4 linked regions of the Mus musculus genome follow. The protein of the gene in region 1 purifies or fractionates together with the protein of each later gene. This does not show direct contact. Links are inferred from orthologs where the notes say so. Each region holds a gene or a part of one and is shown in the gene's direction. Other genes may lie near its edges. The genes, in order: Eef1a2, Eef1g, Vars and Eef1b2.

Region 1 (4,959 bases):
TCTCACAAGGAGTCTCACCCTGGCACAGATTTGCAAAGAGCAGCCAGCCTTGCTCTTGGTGGGGCTGTTTCTACTTCTGTTTTGGTGGAAGTGGGGAGGGGAGATGCCTCAGAGTTATTCATCAGCTGCAGGAAGAGCTGGAACCGGGATTTTCTCAAAACCTTGAACAATTTACTCATTTTTAAAATTTTCCCTTAAAAAAATAACTTAGAGAGTTGTTTTGTTTTTAACAGTCCCAAACCTAATGAGATAATTGATCTCTAATTGGGTGTAGAGCCTTAGCCTCAGGTGGCAAGGATAGTTTGGCAACTCCCAGGCCCTCACGCCCTCTGCTGGGGGACTTGCATGTCCACAACCATTGAGGAAGGGAGTGAGGGTGGGGCTGGCTGATCTGGGCAGCCTGGGGTGAGGCAGAGCAGGGTTTGGGGATCAACACCAGAGAGATGGGACAGAGGTCTTCAGTTCAAAGTGCTTTAAGCCAACTGTCACTTCTCCATGGCTGCTCCCATGGGCCAGGGCAGGCATGGCAGGTGGATGTGACCTCAGAGTCCTGTGTCTTATCCTGAGTTGTGCCTCTACCCTTCCAGATGGGGAAGGGCTCTTTTAAATATGCCTGGGTGCTGGACAAGCTGAAGGCCGAGCGGGAACGAGGCATCACCATCGACATCTCCCTCTGGAAGTTTGAGACCACCAAGTACTACATCACCATCATCGATGCTCCAGGACACCGAGACTTCATCAAGAATATGATTACAGGCACATCCCAGGTGTGCACAGAGGGCACCTAGCTCAGTGACTCGGGGCCCAAGAGCTCTCTTCAGGTGTCAGCGTCTCTTGCACTTTCTGTCTCGGCAGACCTCTACCCATGTCATCTCCATGTCCTCTCCATCCTGTTGGGCATAGAGTCCCTCAAGAACTGAGTCAGTGTTTATATCTCAGCTAGACCGGGTGCCTGCAGGGTTACCTCTGCTGGGGCCAGCAGACAGACCAAGGGTGACATGTAGGCATATCTTTCACACATAGATTTTTATAGAAGAGCCCAGAGTAGATACAGTGACATATGGGTAGAAAAGCAGTCAGTCAGTCACAGGCAGAGAGGACAGAACCAGAGGGGATCAGTGACTCATCCAAGGACCATACCCTGCTGGCAGTGGAGTTGATGGCCAGTCTGGGCCTCCTTGACTCAGGGTCTGGTGGAAGATTCCCCTGTTGCCCTTGAGGTAGATACCCTGAATCTCTACCCCCAGCATAACTGCCCAGGCCCCATTATGTGGGTGGCAGGGCCAGGTCGAAGGCAGGGCCGGGTGGGGACTCACTGTGTCTGACCTGTTGGCTAGGCGGACTGCGCAGTGCTGATCGTGGCAGCCGGTGTGGGCGAGTTTGAGGCGGGCATCTCCAAGAACGGGCAAACCCGGGAACACGCACTCCTGGCCTACACTCTGGGTGTGAAGCAGCTCATTGTGGGTGTCAACAAGATGGACTCCACGGAACCAGCCTACAGCGAGAAGCGCTATGATGAGATTGTTAAGGAGGTCAGCGCCTACATCAAGAAGATCGGCTACAACCCAGCCACGGTGCCCTTCGTGCCCATCTCGGGCTGGCATGGTGACAACATGCTGGAGCCTTCACCTAATGTGAGTGGAGATGGTATGGTGGGGACAGTGCTGGCCTTCTCAAGAGCCCAGGGCTCCAAGGCTCCAGGCCAGGGTGGGCCAGGCTCCCTTTGGTCTTGCTAGGTTTCTGTGAGCTCTGTGGTGATGAAGACCTCCTAGTAAGGGACCTGCATTTGAAGTTCTCTGACTCAGCCTCCTTAAGAGGCCAAAAGAGGAAGATAAGGCCCTTTTTCTGGCAAATGATGGTTTCATCAAGTCATCCCTACAGACACTGCCTGTTGGATCCCGGATCTCACTATGGGGGAAAAACAGTTTTTATTTCTCCGAAGTCACTGCCCTGGGTTTAAATACTATTCAGGCCGGGTGTGGTGATGCACACCTTTAATCCCAGCACTTGGGAGGCAGAGGCAGGTGGATTTCTGAGTTTGAGGCCAGCCTGGTCTACAAAGTGAGTTCCAGGACAGCCAGGGCTATACAGAGAAACCCTGCCTCAAAAAAACAAAAAAGAAAAAAAAATCAAAAACAAAACAACAACAACAAAAAACTATTCAGAATCAGTAAGGCCACATGGTTTTTTTCAGCTGCCTCCCCCTTTAGTCTGAAGTGGGTTGGTATCTGGGAAGGAAGCATGTCCGGAGGCTAGCCTGAAGAGTGGAGGATTGTGTTTGGGCAGGTCATGTGGAAGCTTGAAACTTAGACAGTCTGCAGCTCTGGGTTGGGACTCTTACTTGGGAGTAAAGAGGAAGACATTTTTCAGAGACAGCCTGGGACCTAGACCTTGGTCTATCCAGAGGAAACCCCTGTCCTAGAAAGGTGGGTACTCAGCTATAGCCAGCTTTGCAGCTGCCACTGTGAGTAAAATGATAGAAGCCTAGGTTCTCTGGAGATAGCTGGGGACCCAGTGCCTGGTGGTATAAGGACAGAGTTTGGCGGGCAGGGGATACTCCATTTTGTTCTTGCTGATGTATGATTAGCAGGACTTTAGAATCCCCTGGACACTTCTGATCAGCAGAAACTCCTCTGCTCCCTACTGCTCTATTGTGCTCTGGGGCTATGCCCATCCATACGTTGAGAGTCATCTGTTGACCTGAGGTGCTTGGAACTTGGCCATGAATACTAAGGCAGGAGTGCACAAAGCCCCTTGGGTGGATTTACTTCTTGTCTGTGGCAGGTGGACCATGAGGAGCTCTGTCAGGGGGGTTTGAAGTCATCCTCCAGAGAGGCCATTGTAGTGGTGGTGGTGGTGGTGGTGGTAGTGGTGGTGGTGGTGCTAGACCTGAGCTTGGAGATAGTTTGGTATGGAGCAGAACTCTGGGGTAAGGGCAGAGGGTGGATTTTATCCATGGCATGGTCATTGGCTAGACTTGGGTCCCCATTCCCCTGGTACTTGTCCTGTCTAGGGCTATGATTGATCAGATCCCAGGGGAATTAGGGAATCAGGCCAGGCTGAGTGGTCTCATTTGTAAGTGGTGGGGGCATGACAGCAGTCTGGGGAAGCTGTTTTTGTTTGCTTGATTTGTCACTTCCCTCTTTCCTAAGCTGTGTTTGTTCAGGGTCCCTGTGAGGCTAGGAAGGAGAGGAGGGATAAGGAGCAAGCTATTCAGCTTGAATGGTCAAGCTCCCTTCCCAGGCTACCCCTTAGGCAGGTCCAGGAGATCGGAGGCTGAGGGTCAGGTCAGGTGAGTTGCTCTGTGATAACTGGCACCCTTTTGTTTTCCTTTTTGGTACTGCCCAGATGCCATGGTTCAAGGGCTGGAAAGTAGAGCGTAAGGAAGGAAATGCAAGCGGCGTGTCCCTGCTGGAAGCCCTGGACACAATCCTGCCCCCCACCCGCCCCACTGACAAGCCCCTTCGTCTGCCTCTGCAGGATGTGTACAAGATTGGGGGTGAGTGAGGGTTCAGTGCTGGGGCTCACTGCGGCAGGCGCTTGCCTACTCTGCTCCAAACCCTGACTAGGATATCAACAAGGAATCTTGATTCTTGCTCTATCTACCCACCCTATCCATCCGTCTACTCAGTCACCCCTCCCACTCACCTCCACAGTGGCCCCTCCCACCTACCATTTGTTCACTCAGCCTTCCATAGGATCCCTTTCCCACTCCGTACCCCCTCCAGCACTCAGCCACAAGCTAGGGACATAAGATAGGAGTATTGAACCGACTTACACTTTGCCTGCAGGGTGGAGGGTGCCTGTCTCATAGGAGGCAATCCTAGTCCAGGAGTGAGAAATATAGGTCACATGGGCCAACAGAAACCAAAGCCTCATATGAGACGAGCAAAGGGAGGGGAATGCGAATATCACGCTCACGCTTAACTCCAACACAGAGCATGACTGTTGGCTTTTCTCTGCCATCCCATAATGCCACTCCACCCACAAGCTTCCAGGAGATGCTGGAGAGCTCTCCCTCTCCCAGCCACTTGCTCATCATGGTATCCCTGTGGAAGCCAGACCGTCTGTGTGAGCAGGCCTGTCAGAAGGGCTGTGGCCAGATGCCTCTTCAGTGGCAGGACCACAGTGCTACAGCAGGACTCAGGGAGTCCCGTGAGGGCAGGAGTAGACCCAGCGCCAGGAGTAGATTGGGCCACACACCACAGGGAGGGGTTCTCAGGGAAGGAGGAGGAGCTTGTGATGTTCCTCCCTTCTCTGCCCTGCCCCTCATCCTTGAGTCTGCCGGGAGAGACTCCTTCTGTCTCACCCTCTGCTTGTCTAGGGACCCCCTGTCTACGTATACCCTCCGTGAGGTTATCTCCCTTGACCCCTTCAGAGAGGAACAAGTCCTGAGCTCCATATACTTTCAGGCTCCCTGCTTGTATGTTTTGCCCTGCACCGCTCCTCTGGCCTGCCATCTCACAATACCCTCTCTTGGCCCAGGCATTGGGACCGTGCCTGTGGGCCGAGTGGAGACCGGTATCCTCCGGCCTGGTATGGTGGTGACCTTTGCGCCAGTCAACATCACCACAGAGGTGAAGTCTGTGGAAATGCACCATGAGGCACTTAGCGAGGCCCTGCCTGGTGACAATGTCGGGTTCAATGTGAAGAATGTGTCCGTTAAGGATATTCGCCGGGGCAATGTCTGCGGGGACAGCAAAGCTGACCCGCCTCAGGAGGCTGCCCAGTTCACCTCTCAGGTTGGTGGTTGCACTAGGGAATGTGGGCATTCCTCCTCAGAATAGGAGAGATGGGTGGGGGTAACAGGAACAAGAGCTACTGGCCTTTGCCTAGCACTGAAGAGGAAGGCCCTCCATTCACCCGAAAGCCACTCAGTGTTCAAAGGCTACATGGGTGCTCAGAGTCACCAGCAGGTAAGCAGGACCATGGCCTCTCTGGGCAGTCCTCCCCTGGGAT
Region 2 (4,959 bases), on another chromosome or scaffold:
ATTATTTAGAACAATTCAGCCTGGAGAATTGGCTACTGAGAAATCTCTGTGTTTATGTTTTCTGCTACTTTCTCCACAGGTTCCAGCATTTGAGGGTGATGATGGATTCTGTGTGTTTGAGAGCAATGCCATTGCCTATTATGGTAATTTGTGGGGATACAGGCGTGAGAGGGTATGGGGGTAAGGCTGTAGAAGCGGCTGTGGCGGACAAGGTGGAATCAGAGACCCGGCTTGGTTTTGGCATGAGGTCAAAGTTCTAAGCTCTATGTCTGCCTTTGCAGTAAGCAATGAGGAGCTGCGAGGAAGTACGCCAGAGGCGGCAGCTCAGGTGGTGCAGTGGGTCAGCTTTGCTGACAGTGACATCGTTCCTCCAGCTAGTACCTGGGTGTTCCCCACCTTGGGCATTATGCACCACAACAAACAGGTACGCTTTGGAACTTGGGGAGAAGCTGGGCCAGAGATAGAGTCAGAGCCTACATTTTGGGACTGGGAGACAGATGAAGGAAAAGATAGCAGGAGTGTGGGGGCAATGCAGACTAAAGTGGCTACCATCAGTATGGTGCAAATAAAGTCATGTTGATCATGAAGATATCTAACACGAGTGATTTCATTTCTGATAAGTTTCAACTGATTCTAGAGTCTAATGATAGAGGGTGGGGGTTGAGTCGATGGCTGGTTAAATGGCTTCTTTAGTTCTGTTGGTGGGGGGATCTGAGGAAAGGGACTTGGTACCCACTAAGCTTGAGTATTCAAAACAACAGGCCACTGAAAATGCGAAAGAGGAGGTGAAGCGAATCCTGGGGCTGCTGGACACTCACTTGAAGACTCGAACTTTTCTAGTGGGCGAGCGAGTGACACTGGCTGATATTACAGTTGTCTGTACCCTGTTGTGGCTCTATAAACAGGTAAGGTTTATATCCCATGTGACAGGGGTTAGACCTGTATTAGGGTAACCCTGTTTTTGCTTAAGACAGACCAGTAGTTAATGATTGTAGGGATCCCAACAGTGAGAACTGTGACTGTTTCCATCTTATTAAAGATGGATAAAGGCTGCGTGTGGTAGCTCATACTTGTGTAATCCCAGCACTTGAGATACTGAGACAGGAGGATCATTCTGGTTTAAGGCCACCCTAGGCTACATAGTGATATCAAAAATAGAAAGCAAAAATCAAAGATGTAAGAGACAGGGATAGTGACTGCAGCAGCGAGAGCTTTTGGAGGCAGATTCAGGTCTCTGTCTTAACTTCAGTGTTTAAAGATGCAGTGGTATAAGAATTCTCATAGTTATTTATCTGTGATAAGTCCAAGGTGGTATTCAGCTTATGTCTACATGTATTTGCATATGTGTGTGCATGCATGCAGATCCCAAGGAGCTTGAGTTACAGATGGCTGTGAGCTACTATGTGTGTGCTAGGAATCAAACCAGGTAGCCATCCCCAGCTGCCCCCAACCCCCATGTTTGTTTTTTTTTTTTTTTTTAATATTGTGTTGCTGATTTCTAGGCGGCAGCAGCTCTGGACCCATTCTGGTTCAGAATTACAGTCCAGTGAGAACAAAAAAAAATGCCATTGTTTGCCAGACTGGTGTGCCTCACAGGGTTCATTATAATCCTTCCATGGCCACAACACACAGCAAGTACATGTTCAAGTCACTGCAGAACTTGCGGTGCGTGACTAACTGAATTCTGTGATCTGTCTCCATGATTTACCCTTCTACCCACTCCTGTTTTGACAAAGTAGAAAATGACAGGGGCTGGAGAGATGAGTCAATAGTTTTAAAAAATGCTTGCTGCTCTTCCAGAGGACTCTGGTGGATTCTCAGCACCCACACGCTTCTCACAACTGGAACTCCATTTCCAGAAGATCTGATGTTCCAGCTTCCGTGAGCCCTAGGAATGCACGTGGTGCATAGACAAACGCACAGGCAAGACACCCAGATACAGAAAAGTACCAAACAGGAGCTTGTAAGATGGTAGTGTGGGGCAGGAGAGATGGCTCAGCACTCGAAGAGTTCTTGTTTTGCAGAGGCTATGTTTATTTCCCAATACACAAATGGCAGCTTAAAACTATATAACGCCAACTCGGGGAGCCGGTGTTTTATGATCTAAGTGGGCACAGATATACTTGGAAGAAAAGCACTAAAACATAAGAATGAATGTAAGTTTTTCAAGGACGAGGTTTGAAGGAAGGACTGTGTTGTGTCTGCTGGGCACGTGCTGTGTTGCTGCTCTATCTAGTCTTGGGTTGCTTGTGCCTTCTGTGTGTGTTAGAGTCGCAGTGCGGGGCTAGCGTGGAGCCCAGTGATTTACCTGGCATGCTTTATGTCCCATTCCTAGCATCACACACGAAGTATCTTTTTTTGGAGGGTTGTCATAGCAAAATAAGTGTGGTAGTCACCCCACTCTACCCCATTTGGGTGCTGATTTGGAACCCGGTGCCTTGACCAATGTCTGGGTCACCTGCTACTAAGCCACATTCCTAGCCCCCCCCGGTACTCTAGACAGGCTCTTCTTACAGCCTTTTCAATCTTTTTTGGGGGGGTGGGGGGGATAGGGTTTCTCTGTAGACCAGGCTGCCCTAAAACTCAGCTCTGCCTGCCTCTGCTTTGCTTTCTTGGTGCTGGGATTGTTGGCATGAAATTTTTAAAATTAAGAATAGATGAAAGAGGGGCTAGAGAGATGGCTCAGTGGTTAAGAGCGCCAGCTGCTTTTCCAGAGGTCCTGAGTTCAATTCCCAGCAACCACATGGTGGCTCACAACCATCTGTAATAGGATCTGATGCCCTCTTCTGGTGTGGCTGAAGACACACCAGTACTCACTTACATGAAATAAATAAAACTTTAAAAGAAAAGAATAGATGAAAGAGCAGAATATGAAATCATTAAGTAGCAATGGTGCATGAAGGACTGGGAACAGCCATCCTCGACTGAACTAAAGACGAGGGAGAAAGCGCCTATACTCCCAGCACAGCAGAGTGGAGATGGGAGGATCCTGATGTGAAAGGCTCACTTGGGTTATGTAATAAAGCTGACTGAAACACAGAGAATACTGGAAAGAGCTCAACAGTTATGTGGTTAAGGGCAATGGCCACCCTTCCGCCAGGGTTTAATTACCAGCACCCATATAATGCCTCAGTCATCTACAGCTCCATTTCCAAGGGATCCTGGCACTGTCTTACGGCCTCAGGGAACACTGCATGTATGTCGTATATGTGTATATGTAGGTAAAACACTCAATACACATAAAAGGAGTCTTCTTTGAAAACTTTTCTTTGAAAAGGAGTCTTCCTGGAGGTGTAGTCATTTAAGGTTCTGATGTGGCATGGAGAGGACAGTGGACCTGGAGGTAAGGGGCTTTTGCTGTGGTTTGAAATCTGTTCATGGCCTTTCCATTATTGATCTTGTTTCTGCCATTCCCTCTTGGCAGGTCTTAGAGCCTTCTTTTCGCCAGGCCTTCCCCAATACCAACCGGTGGTTCCTTACCTGCATTAACCAGCCCCAGTTCAGGGCTATCTTGGGGGAGGTGAAGCTGTGTGAGAAGATGGCTCAGTTTGATGGTAAGTCTGAAGAGACTGGGCATGTGATAGGGTCAGGGTCCAGTTGGCGCCTGTCAACCCTTTGACTTGCATAGCCTTGTTCACCCAGAGAACGTGGGTGTCACCCAGTAACTGACGTTTACATCAAACTGCAGTGCTGTGTGACGATGTGTGTTTTGCTTCTTGAGGCTTCTTAGGCTGTCCGAGCCATCACTTTCCCTGCCTGCTGCCGGGTTTGGGAGAAAAAAGAAAGAGGCTGTATGTTTACTTTCTTCCATCCTTTGCTAGCTAAGAAGTTTGCAGAGAGCCAGCCTAAAAAAGATACCCCAAGGAAAGAAAAGGGTTCACGAGAGGAGAAACAGAAACCCCAGGCTGAGCGGAAGGAGGAAAAAAAGGCAGCTGCCCCAGCTCCTGAGGAAGAGATGGATGAGTGTGAGCAGGCATTGGCTGCTGAGCCCAAGGCCAAGGACCCTTTCGCTCACCTGCCCAAGAGGTAAGCTGGTGCTCTTCTCACATCTAGGGCTACGATGTTAGGTTGTTACAATACTGATGGGTGTAAGTATAGTCCAGGTCTCATGTGTCCAGGTTGTGCTGAGGGTCTGAACTCAGTTCCTCATGCTTGCATAGCAAGCACTTTACCCACTGAGCCATGTCCTCAGCCTCTTGGAATTTTTCTAACAGAAGGACAAAAGCCTGTTTAAAGTGGAGTGTAGTGGGGGTTGTTTTTGTTTTTTTCAGATAGGGTCTTCCTGTGGCTCAAAGGCAGTCTATAGACCTGCCTGTGCCTCCCAAGCATGATGCATGCCACCATGCCTTCCTTTGTTATTGTGCAGACCAGGCTGCCTTGAACCTGGACCTTGTGCCCTTGCACCTCAAGTACTAGCATTACAGGTGTGTCCCCAAAGTCTAGCATCTCTGCCCTTCCTAAAGCCACCTTCCTGTGCACAATAATGGTCTATTTCATAATACTTTTTCATTGCTGGGACAACTGAGGAAAAACAAAGGGAAAACGAGACAAAATATCCGTCCCTTTAGTTGTTTTGGGAAGGGCAGAGAGACATGAAAGCTGGGGTCCACTCACTCATTTAGCCTGGTCAAGTTGACTACAGAGCAGCCATGCAGGCTCAGTTTTGACCCACCTACATTTTGTGATGTTTTAAGTGATTGCCTTGTAAACCAGCATGTAGAAATACTCTTGACTGTAGAGTTGGAAATTGCAGCAAGGATTATACCAAAGGACAGGGACTTCTGTCTGAGAGTCCTAATTTCTAGTTTTTGTTTGCTTTTTTGGTATGAGACCAAGAAGACTTCAGATGTAGCATTCCTGCTTTTTCTTTTTTTTTTTGAGGGGTGGCGGGTGGGCTTGAGACTGTTTTCTGTGTATAACTCTGGCTGTCCTGAAACTCATTCTGAAGACCAAGTGGTC
Region 3 (4,421 bases), on another chromosome or scaffold:
GGCGGTACTGGGTAAGCGGACGCACTGAAGCAGAGGCCCGAGAGAAGGCAGCACGGGAGTTTGGAGTGTCCCCTGACAAGATCAGCCTTCAGCAAGGCAGGGATGGGCACGGAGGATGGGGACAGTCGGGATTCTTCTTTTCTGTTCCTGTCCCTCTAATGTCTGACCCTGGCTTTCCCCAGATGAGGATGTGTTGGACACCTGGTTCTCCTCCGGTCTCTTTCCCTTCTCCATCTTTGGCTGGCCCAATCAGGTATGCTAGAGTGAGGGGAGGGGCACTGAAGGGGAATGCTTGGCTCATCTCCTTGCCCTCGTCCTCCCGCAGTCAGAAGACCTCAGTGTGTTCTACCCTGGGACCCTGTTGGAGACAGGCCATGATATCCTCTTCTTCTGGGTGGCCCGGATGGTCATGCTCGGCCTGAAGCTCACTGGGAAGCTGCCCTTCAGAGAGGTGTGACTATGGCTAAGCCCCGCCCCTGCCCCGTGTCTCCTTACCTGCCTTCTTGGGTGGCTGTTGGCTAAGATTAGCTTGATGGGTCTGCCTCAGGGCTTCCTCTTCCCAGAGGAGGGGGCACTTGTCAGATACACTATGACCAGCCAGTAGGGCCACTAGGAACCTATGATTCCAAGTGGGCAGACTGGGGAGGGCCTTCAAGACTGGGAGGAGCATGGCCTCACAGTTCATCACGCCTCGTGCCCTCAGGTCTATCTCCATGCAATCGTGCGTGATGCTCATGGCAGGAAGATGAGCAAGTCTCTTGGCAATGTCATCGACCCCCTGGATGTCATCCATGGAGTTTCCTTGCAGGTGGGGTACTCAGTGGGTCAGCTAGAAACAACTTTGCAGCTGTGGCTAGAACGATCTGACACCTCCCATCTCCTCCCTAGGGCCTCTATGACCAACTACTGAACAGCAACCTGGATCCCAGTGAGGTGGAGAAAGCCAAAGAAGGACAGGTAAGGGGTGTGCTCCGGGGGTGGGCTGCAGCAGGTGGGCAGGAGTGGGTGTACCCCAGGGGTGGGCTGCAGCAGGTGGGCAACCTGACCACCCTGCTCAACCGCCCTGTTCCTCTGCATCCTCTGTAGAAGGCCGACTTTCCAGCAGGGATTCCCGAGTGTGGCACTGATGCCCTACGCTTTGGACTCTGTGCCTACACATCCCAAGGTATGGTCTCCCGACCTCCCTCAGTTGCCTGTTTTCTTCCCTGCAACCCGTGATCTCCTCTACCTTGGGCCTTCAGAGGACCTCTCTGAGAGGGCAACTGGGGTGGAATCACAGACATCCCTCCTCTAGGTCGAGACATCAACCTGGATGTGAACAGGATCCTGGGGTACCGTCACTTCTGCAACAAACTCTGGAATGCTACCAAGTTTGCCCTGCGCGGCCTTGGGAAGGGCTTTGTGCCCTCAGCAACCTCCAAGGTGAGGATCTTGTCGGTGGCCATCGGTGACAGTGCCTGTGCCCACACAGTCTGTGGCTCCCTCCACTCAAGTGTCAAGACTAAAGCTGCTGTCCCCTGAGATCCTCCTTTTAGTCAGGGACAGACAGGTGGAAGTTGATGATTGATGGGGAAGTCTCTGCAGCTTGGGGCCCATGAGGAATGCAGATTCTCCTGTGTCCCACTCTACTCCCTGCCCTGGTAGTGTGATGGCCTACTGCCTGACGTTTCTCTTCCCCCAAGCCTGAAGGGCACGAGAGCCTGGTGGACCGCTGGATCCGCAGCCGCCTAACTGAGGCCGTGAGGCTCAGCAATGAAGGCTTCCAGGCTTACGATTTCCCGGCCATCACCACCGCCCAGTACAGCTTTTGGCTCTATGAGCTCTGTGATGTCTATTTGGTGAGCAGCTGGGGCGGGGCCTGGGCACGTGTAGCTCTGACCTCAGCTTGGCCCTGAAACTTGAGGTCACCTTTTGGTTTTTCCAGTCCTAATGGGGGCAGCAGGGGAGGGGGCTCCAGGTGGGACCTGGCCCTGAGCCTTCTGCCTCCCCATCTCTAGGAGTGTCTAAAACCTGTGCTGAATGGAGTGGACCAGGTGGCGGCAGAGTGTGCTCGGCAGACCCTCTACACCTGCCTGGATGTTGGCCTGCGGCTGCTCTCGCCCTTCATGCCCTTTGTCACAGAGGAGCTATTCCAGAGACTGCCCCGGCGGACACCAAAAGCGCCTGCTAGCCTCTGTGTCACCCCGTACCCAGAGCCCTCAGAGGTATGAGGTGTGGCCTGGAGGGCATGCTGCTGCCCTCCTGAGCAGTCCTTTTCTCCCACTCTGCCCCACAGTGCTCCCCCTTTCCCCACTCTGCCCCACAGTGCTCCCCTTTTCCCCCCGTCTGACTCACAGTGCTCCCCCTCCCCCCACTCTGCCCTAGTGCTCCCCTTTTCCCCCAGTCTGACTCACAGTGCTCCCCCTTCCCCCACTCTGCCCCACAGTGCTCCTGGAAGGACCCTGAAGCTGAAGCTGCTCTTGAACTAGCTCTGAGCATCACTCGAGCTGTGCGCTCCCTGCGTGCTGACTACAACCTGACCCGCACCAGGCCCGACTGTAAGCCTCAGTCCCTCGCATCCACCTATCCCCTGACCTCCACGGCCCCTTGGGGAGCCCAGGGTCTGGCTGTACCTCGGCTTCCCTTTCCTCTTTTTCCCCCTCTTCGCTCTACAGGTTTCTTGGAAGTAGCCGATGAGGCCACAGGTGCCTTGGCCTCGGCAGTGTCGGGCTACGTGCAGGCTCTGGCCAGTGCGGGCGTGGTGGCTGTCCTCGCCCTGGGTGCTCCTGCACCGCAGGGCTGCGCTGTAGCTGTGGCTTCTGACCGCTGCTCCATCCACCTGCAGCTGCAGGGGCTAGTGGACCCAGCCCGGGAGTTGGGCAAGCTGCAGGCCAAGCGAAGTGAGGCACAGCGGCAGGCTCAGCGGCTGCAGGAGCGCCGTGCTGCCTCCAGCTACTCAGCAAAGGTGCCCCTTGAGGTCCAGGAGGCAGATGAAGCGAAGGTGTGTGGAGGGGATGGGGTATGCCAGTGGGTCGTGTGTGGCCAGGCAGCCTGTGGACTCCTGCACAGGTGGGGTTGTGTGTGCTCTGGGGCCCTTTGTCACTGTACTCTCAAGAAAAGAAGCGCTCTAGAGGAAGAGGGACTTGGAAGCCTGCTGCCCTGACTTCCTGGTCATCCTCACCCATCTCATCACCCTGGGCTCCTCTGCTCTCTGGGTGTTTAGGCTCCTTGGGTATGGGGTCACCACATACCTCTTTTGCACCCCCAGTTGCAACAGACAGAGGCGGAGCTCAGGAAGGTGGATGAGGCCATCGCCCTGTTCCAGAAGATGCTGTGACCCCCCATTCCAACCCTCAGCCCCCAGTGTTCCATCAACAGGGATGGCAGCAATAAAATATTTTCCCAACATTCGCTCTTGTCTGTGTGGTGTGGGCAGGGGGCGTACAGAGGCCTGACCTAGGGCTTCCCAGGAGCAGCAGGAGAACTGCCGGCTCCTGCCTGGCCCTGGTCCTGGTGGGCAGCAGGATGCGTCTGCCTGGGTCTGTCTCTGGCACAGTGCCAGGCCTGAGTCACGGTGCTCTGCTGCCAGCTCCCCGCCTCCCCAGTTCACCTCACTGCACTGCACTGCGCTGTGCCTGCGGAGGCCTGCCCTGGGCCCGCCCCGGCTTTCGCTACATCTTGTGGCTCTGGGTTGGCACGAATGGAAGATGGCCAGGGGCTGCCTGTCCTCAATCCCCTTGCTAAGAGCCTCCCTCTCACTCTACTGAGGCCCAGTTAATTATAACTCTGACCTAAGTGCCCTGTGACGCCACACCCAGGCCAGCGCTGCCCAGGAGACCCAGCTTCCAGGTAGGAGAGGCCTGAGGAGACTTCTATCCGTGGGGCAGGGCCAGGGCTCAGTCTGGTGTAGGAAGAGAATCTTGAGAGGGTCCTCCGGGGCCTCCGATGGCAGCTGTGGGCTCCACTGGCCTGACAGGCCCTTAGTTTGTATGGGTTGCAGGCACAGGGAGGGGAGCCACCCTGGAGTATATGGGGCACCTGAAGCAAAGCAGGAAGTGGGCAATAGGTGCCATGGTGACAGCAGGCCTGCCCTGCAATTGGTGGCTTTTTTTTCCCTTGAGGTGCTTCTGTTCCCTAGGTCCATGCTTCAGCCATGCTCCCTGTGGAGGTACCCCTGTCCCACCTGGGCCCCCCAATACTGCTTCTGCTTCAGCTGCTGTTGCCCCCAACATCTGCCTTCTTTCCCAACATCTGGAGCCTTCTGGCTGCCCCTGGCTCTGTCACTCACCAAGACCTGACTGAGGAGGCTGCACTCAATGTCACCCTTGTGCTCTTTCTGGAGCAGCCACACCCAGGCCGACCACGCCTCCATGTAGAGGACTACAGGGTGAGCACCTTAGATTCACCTGGGGTTTCTCAGAGGATCCTTGTCACAAGGAGGC
Region 4 (5,412 bases), on another chromosome or scaffold:
CCTGGCTTCTACACTGTACAGTTTGTTTTACTGGGGTTTTCTACTTGGTGGGGTTTGTTTGTTTGTAGACAGACCTCATGTACCTCAGACTGGCTTCACACTTGCTATGAAGTCAAGGATTAACTTGGACTCCTAAACTTCAGGCCTCCACTTCCCAAGCAAGGAGCAGAATTATCAACACGCACCACCATGTCCAGATTGGTATATATTTTACTGTTGTTGTTGTTGTTGACATTCATTTACTTACTCCGTGAGTGTCACCATAAACACACAAGGAGGTGGGTGGGGCGGGTGCCTGTGAAAGTTAAAGGACACCCTTTGAAAGTCAGTTCTTTCTTTCCATCAATGTGGGTCCTGGAGATCTAACTCAGGATGTCAGGATTGGCAAGCATCATTTCCAACTAAGATCTTTCCCAGCTCTAATATGTATTTTAGACATAGTATCTACCAAATAGGAACAAAAATAGCCAGTCAAGTCAGGGATGTAGCTCAGTTAGTAGAGTCCTTACCTAATCACACACAAAGTTCTCCGTTCAATCCTCACATCTCAGCCTCCCCTTTCTGGAATTACAGACAGGTACCATCATCACACCCTGGCTCTAATATCTTGGCTGTATCTTATAAAAGTAACTTTCTAAAAGGCGCTGATGAGCTGGCTTAGAATATTAGATTTAGTGATGGGGTGGGGGTGGATCCCAGAAATCTGTTTGGTCTTACAGACATGAACCTCACAAACTTGAAGACACCGCAGCTTCCTGATCTGCAGCGGACTCCAGGCTAACTTTTTAAGATTCATTTTTAGTTTATGTGTGCATGTGCTTATCTGTGTGTGGGTAATGTGCACTTCTAAGTGCCGGTGCTCACAGTCCAAAAGAGAGTGGAGAATTCCCTGATAAGGTTACATGGCAGCTGGGAGTCTTCTGACTGGGCTAGTGGGAACCGAACTCGGATCCTCTCTGCAAGGCACTCTTAACCGCTTGACTCTCCCTCCAGCTCCGACTGAGCTAACTTTTAGTTTTTGTCAGTTCTCCCCGTCGGTGGAATGAATAAAATACTACCCAACATGATCACCGGGCTAGACAAAAACAAACAGTAGCGTGGACAGGTTCAAGACAGCAACTAAACCGATGCCTGAGGTTTAAGTCTCTCGTGACCCTGGGAGATGAACCGGTCTCCTGATGACAGGGCCATCTCCTGTCTTCCCCTGCAAAGAGAGAGTAGCTCGCAAGCCCGGACTCCCAAAGGTCTCCTGATCGGCTTAGGCTCCATCAGACCAGAAACCAAGGCTCATAACCCTCACCTGCCGGCTCTCCCGGGTTCCAGAGGTGGCGGGGCAGGAGCTGGTACCCAGTCAAGGGCAAGAGGAGAACGGCTTGTCTGACCTATGGGATGCAGACCTGCCAAAAAAGAAAACACCACTCGAAGCGCTTCAACTTGCCCACTTCAACGCGTCCTCACCTTTCCTCCGGAGCCCACCGAGTAGTTCCGCGGACCTGTCCGGGTCTCCCTGACCCCTCAAAACCCTGGCCGCTAAGTCAATATGGCGGCCACGGCAACCTCTGTCAGCCCGACCTGGAGGACGGAAAGCCAGGAGGGACTAGAAACACAGATTCGACTGTTTTTCCCCGTCTTCGGACCTGTTCGGCAATTTCCGAGAGCGAGCCCGGGAGGAAGCGGAGAAGACGACTTGGACCTGCAGTTCCGCCGGAAGTAGCCGAGGCCTTGCGTCCGAGCGCTTTCGTTCAACTCCGGCTCCTCAGAGGGCGTTTCCCTTCGTTTCGGAGTCCTTGGAGCGAAGGCATTTTAAAATGCCTCCTTTATTAATTTTCTTCCAAAGACAAGGGAAGGCCGGCGGACGACCTGTGGGCCCTTTAGTTACCAAGTCGCAGTGGTACGCGGAGGACCGAGACTAGGAACGGACCTTGACCTTTAACCTCTAGCCGGGGCGGCGGAGGGAAACGCCTCCGTCTCTATATAAGGAGTTTTCCGGACGCTCTGGGTCCTTTTTTTCCCTCAGCGCTGGCCGCGGCCTCCCGGCGCTCTCGTCCTCCGCTTTTGCACAGCTCCCCGTTCCAGCCTTCGCCATGGGATTCGGAGACCTGAAAACCCCTGCCGGCCTCCAGGTGCTCAACGATTACCTGGCGGACAAGAGCTACATTGAGGGGTGAGCAGGAGCCGAGAGGCTGGGGGGCCGGGGCCACGTGGCGCGGGCTCGGCGGGAAGGAAGCGGGTCTCCGGATGCTGGGGGACGCCGAGTCAGTGCTCCCGGGGCCGGGATGCCAATGGAGCGGGACCTCCCGGGAGGGGCTGCCAGCATTATAATTGAGATGATGCTTGCTCTCCGTGTGCCCACGTCCAGCTGGTTCTTCCGCGTCTTTGGACAAGTTAGTTTGTTAGTTGAAACCTGTGGCAAGTCTGGTGGGATGAGTTCTCCTGGGTGGCAGATAGTTCTTGGGCTTGCCTAGATTCAAACATGTTCTGTGTCCTTTCAATGAGAAGCAACTTAGGCTAGCCCTGTAATTGTTCTCACTAGTTAGCTTGACGGATATGGGCTATGTCATTTACCAGCTAGTGTTTGTGTCTTTTCTTTTAAAGGTCTGTGCACTTGTTTTTGTGTCACTGGCAGGTACGTGCCATCACAAGCAGACGTGGCAGTATTTGAAGCAGTTTCTGGTCCACCACCTGCTGACCTGTGTCATGCCCTACGTTGGTATAATCACATCAAGTCGTATGAAAAAGAAAAGGCCAGGTAAAGGTATCTTTGTGCTACCTGGATTTTCACATGCAAAGTAGGGACCGGGTTAAAGTTGGCTTTAGCATTGCTGACCTAGTGTGAGCTGAATTTCTTTGTGACCTTACAAGGCCAAGAGACTGAAGTCCTCCATTTTCTCACAGAACAGGTAGAACATGGACAACCGCAGTTCACCTTTCCCACACCTCTCTGATCATGTGCTTTGGACCTGGGGGGGCCACCGCTGGGGTGTGAGGGTAGCTCGCTCATTCGGTCCCTGGCCATTCTTCTGAAACTACCAGCAAGGGTGGAAGTTTGGGGAAGTGGATTCCAGTTCACTAAGAATGGAAGTGAGCATACTTAATGAAATCTCAAACAGATGTTCATTCTGAAAGAGTAAGCCGTAGTGAGTACTGAATACAATGTCTCCCATGGGTGAAGAGTAAAGTTATTTGCCTGGGATTGTGCTAAAGGTTAAATAACCAGAAGAGAGTGGGAGTTCCTGGGAAAGGAAGATTGTGTGTTTTGCCTAGAAAGGGCTTTGACACTGACCTAATGTGGCAGAATGTTTGTTTTCAAGCCTGCCGGGAGTGAAGAAATCTTTGGGCAAGTATGGCCCTAGCAGTGTAGAAGACACCACAGGAAGTGGAGCTGCAGATGCTAAGGATGATGACGACATTGATCTCTTTGGATCTGATGATGAGGAGGTATGACTTCATCTTTATCCAAGCATATTGAGAAGCCTGAGGACAGATGCCATAGCCACTCCCTGGATGGATCCTGGCGTGGCTTTATTGTCTGCCTTTTAAAATTTATCACTGGGTACATGATGAATAAAATCAAATCACCTTCTTTCGGCTGAGCTCCTGATGGATTTGCTTTTTCTGATAAATCTGGTGGGTTTTGTGATGACCTTGTCACTACATTTAAGCAGAAGATAACCAACTTTGTGAAACATCTTTTCTCTGTACAGGAAAGTGAGGAAGCAAAGAAGCTACGAGAAGAACGCCTTGCACAGTATGAGTCCAAGAAAGCTAAAAGTGGGTAATCTTCATTGTTAGTAGTGTTGATTTCAGGAGCTTGTCCAGTGCTTGCCCTAAAGTGGATTTTCCCCAGTTAAATTGAATGGGTCAATATTTTAAAACTTCCACAGCTACTGGTCTACAGCTGTCTTTATGGTAGCAGTTGTAGCATTCCTCTGTGGGAAAGAAACTGTTACACAATTTAATGCCTCTTTCTTAGCCACACAGGAGGAGGATTATGTGTGACAGACACAAGGCAAATTGTGTGTGTGTTTGACAAAAAGATGGTCTGTTTTAAAACAAATTTGAGATTTGACTTAATGGTGAAAGTGTTGAGTGTTTAGGTGCACTTCTTAATCTTCCTTAGAGCCTGCAGTTGTTGCGAAGTCTTCCATCCTACTAGACGTGAAGCCTTGGGATGATGAGACGGACATGACAAAACTAGAGGAGTGTGTCCGAAGCATTCAAGCAGATGGCCTGGTGTGGGGCTCCTGTAAGTGTGATGCTTGTGTTTTAGGGATTTGTGCGTTTTCCCGTAAGGATTTCCTAACATTTACCCCTTGATGTTCTTTTTTAGCTAAATTGGTTCCAGTGGGATATGGAATTAAAAAGCTTCAAATACAGTGTGTAGTTGAAGATGATAAGGTTGGAACGGATATGCTGGAAGAGCAAATTACTGCTTTTGAGGACTACGTACAGTCCATGGATGTGGCTGCTTTTAACAAGATTTAAATCATTCTTAAGTCAGTGCACTTAAATAAAAGCTTGAAAGATAACCCTTGGCTCTTCATTTTGCTGTGAAATGGTATGTCTTCATTTTGAAGGAAAGGATTCAGTGTAACTCATTAGTGGCGAAAACTTGAACTGGAAAGAGAAATAGCTCAGCATTTTTAAACCACTCAGCTTGATGACCAGACCAACCTGAAGTTGTCTTTTAGCCAACACTGTGTGTACCATAGATATAATTAAAAGGAAGATAAAGAACTGATGTGTTATTAAAGATTTAGCAATTAGAGTATACTTTTGTGATTAGTGAAATAATTCTTTTGCTGTTAGCAGTACATGATACTATTGATAAACTGTCACTAGATGCCTTCGATGTCTTTCTGAAAAACTGAATCTTGGGCTGCTGAGATGACTCTATGATAGCCACTGAGGTTGCTTACTGTTTGGTTCACTCCATAGAGTAAGAGCGAAACTCTAGAAGGTGCTCTGATGGCCACGAGCACAACACCTGTACATAAGAGTTTTTGGAAGTGTCCTGAAAGGAACATTGTAGGCTCATAAGGTGGTCAAGTGTGGGTTTTCAGAACTCAACCTAGAGATGGAGGGAAGTGCTGGGGGAGGCAGTATGCGCAAAGCTATTCCTTGGAGACACTTGTGGGAGGTTATGCTGCTCTAGAAGTACGTTATGAAATGTATCACAGGGCTGGAGAGATGGTTAAGAACACCAACTGCTCTTCTGAAGGTTGTGAGTTCAAATCCCAGCAACCGCATGGTGGCTCACAACCATCTGTAATGGGATCTGACACCCTTTTCTGATGCTTCCGAAGACAGCTACAGTGTACTTAGATATAATAATAAATAAATCTTTTTTAAAAAAATACATCACAGCAGTTTCAGCTTTGTGTTAAATTTTTGATATCTAAACATTTACTA

What was found.
Region 2: the proteins of Eef1a2 (region 1) and Eef1g purify together in Homo sapiens (affinity purification with mass spectrometry; 4 studies listed by BioGRID and IntAct, counting the BioPlex papers as one, with this or other methods). This does not show direct contact. The link is inferred for Mus musculus from reciprocal best matches to the Homo sapiens genes EEF1A2 and EEF1G.
Region 3: the proteins of Eef1a2 (region 1) and Vars purify together in Homo sapiens (co-immunoprecipitation; 3 studies listed by BioGRID and IntAct, counting the BioPlex papers as one, with this or other methods). This does not show direct contact. The link is inferred for Mus musculus from reciprocal best matches to the Homo sapiens genes EEF1A2 and VARS1.
Region 4: the proteins of Eef1a2 (region 1) and Eef1b2 purify together in Homo sapiens (co-immunoprecipitation; 4 studies listed by BioGRID and IntAct, counting the BioPlex papers as one, with this or other methods). This does not show direct contact. The link is inferred for Mus musculus from reciprocal best matches to the Homo sapiens genes EEF1A2 and EEF1B2.

Annotation. Positions count from the first base shown.
Region 1 is NC_000068.7:181,149,459-181,154,417, reverse strand, and holds part of Eef1a2 (elongation factor 1-alpha 2), read left to right. Parts: intron 1-587; coding exon 588-767; intron 768-1,337; coding exon 1,338-1,634; intron 1,635-3,348; coding exon 3,349-3,499; intron 3,500-4,485; coding exon 4,486-4,742; intron 4,743-4,959. UniProt on the Homo sapiens protein: Translation elongation factor that catalyzes the GTP-dependent binding of aminoacyl-tRNA (aa-tRNA) to the A-site of ribosomes during the elongation phase of protein synthesis.
Region 2 is NC_000085.6:8,969,083-8,974,041, forward strand, and holds part of Eef1g (elongation factor 1-gamma), read left to right. Parts: intron 1-79; coding exon 80-143; intron 144-281; coding exon 282-424; intron 425-761; coding exon 762-905; intron 906-3,424; coding exon 3,425-3,554; intron 3,555-3,821; coding exon 3,822-4,026; intron 4,027-4,959. UniProt on the Homo sapiens protein: Probably plays a role in anchoring the complex to other cellular components.
Region 3 is NC_000083.6:35,012,940-35,017,360, forward strand, and holds the end of Vars (valine--tRNA ligase), read left to right. Parts: coding exon 1-96; intron 97-182; coding exon 183-253; intron 254-325; coding exon 326-451; intron 452-703; coding exon 704-808; intron 809-888; coding exon 889-957; intron 958-1,086; coding exon 1,087-1,165; intron 1,166-1,294; coding exon 1,295-1,422; intron 1,423-1,682; coding exon 1,683-1,838; intron 1,839-1,997; coding exon 1,998-2,204; intron 2,205-2,425; coding exon 2,426-2,537; intron 2,538-2,654; coding exon 2,655-2,980; intron 2,981-3,247; coding exon 3,248-3,316; 3' UTR 3,317-3,390; downstream 3,391-4,421. Other genes in the region: Vwa7 (von Willebrand factor A domain-containing protein 7 isoform 1 precursor), read left to right, coding at 4,133-4,366. UniProt on the Homo sapiens protein: Catalyzes the attachment of valine to tRNA(Val).
Region 4 is NC_000067.6:63,175,128-63,180,539, forward strand, and holds Eef1b2 (elongation factor 1-beta), read left to right. Parts: upstream 1-1,703; 5' UTR 1,704-2,084; coding exon 2,085-2,164; intron 2,165-2,626; coding exon 2,627-2,749; intron 2,750-3,311; coding exon 3,312-3,438; intron 3,439-3,549; exon of another isoform or gene 3,550-3,627; intron 3,628-3,704; coding exon 3,705-3,771; intron 3,772-3,895; exon of another isoform or gene 3,896-4,008; intron 4,009-4,120; coding exon 4,121-4,246; intron 4,247-4,330; coding exon 4,331-4,485; 3' UTR 4,486-5,359; downstream 5,360-5,412. UniProt on the Homo sapiens protein: Catalytic subunit of the guanine nucleotide exchange factor (GEF) (eEF1B subcomplex) of the eukaryotic elongation factor 1 complex (eEF1).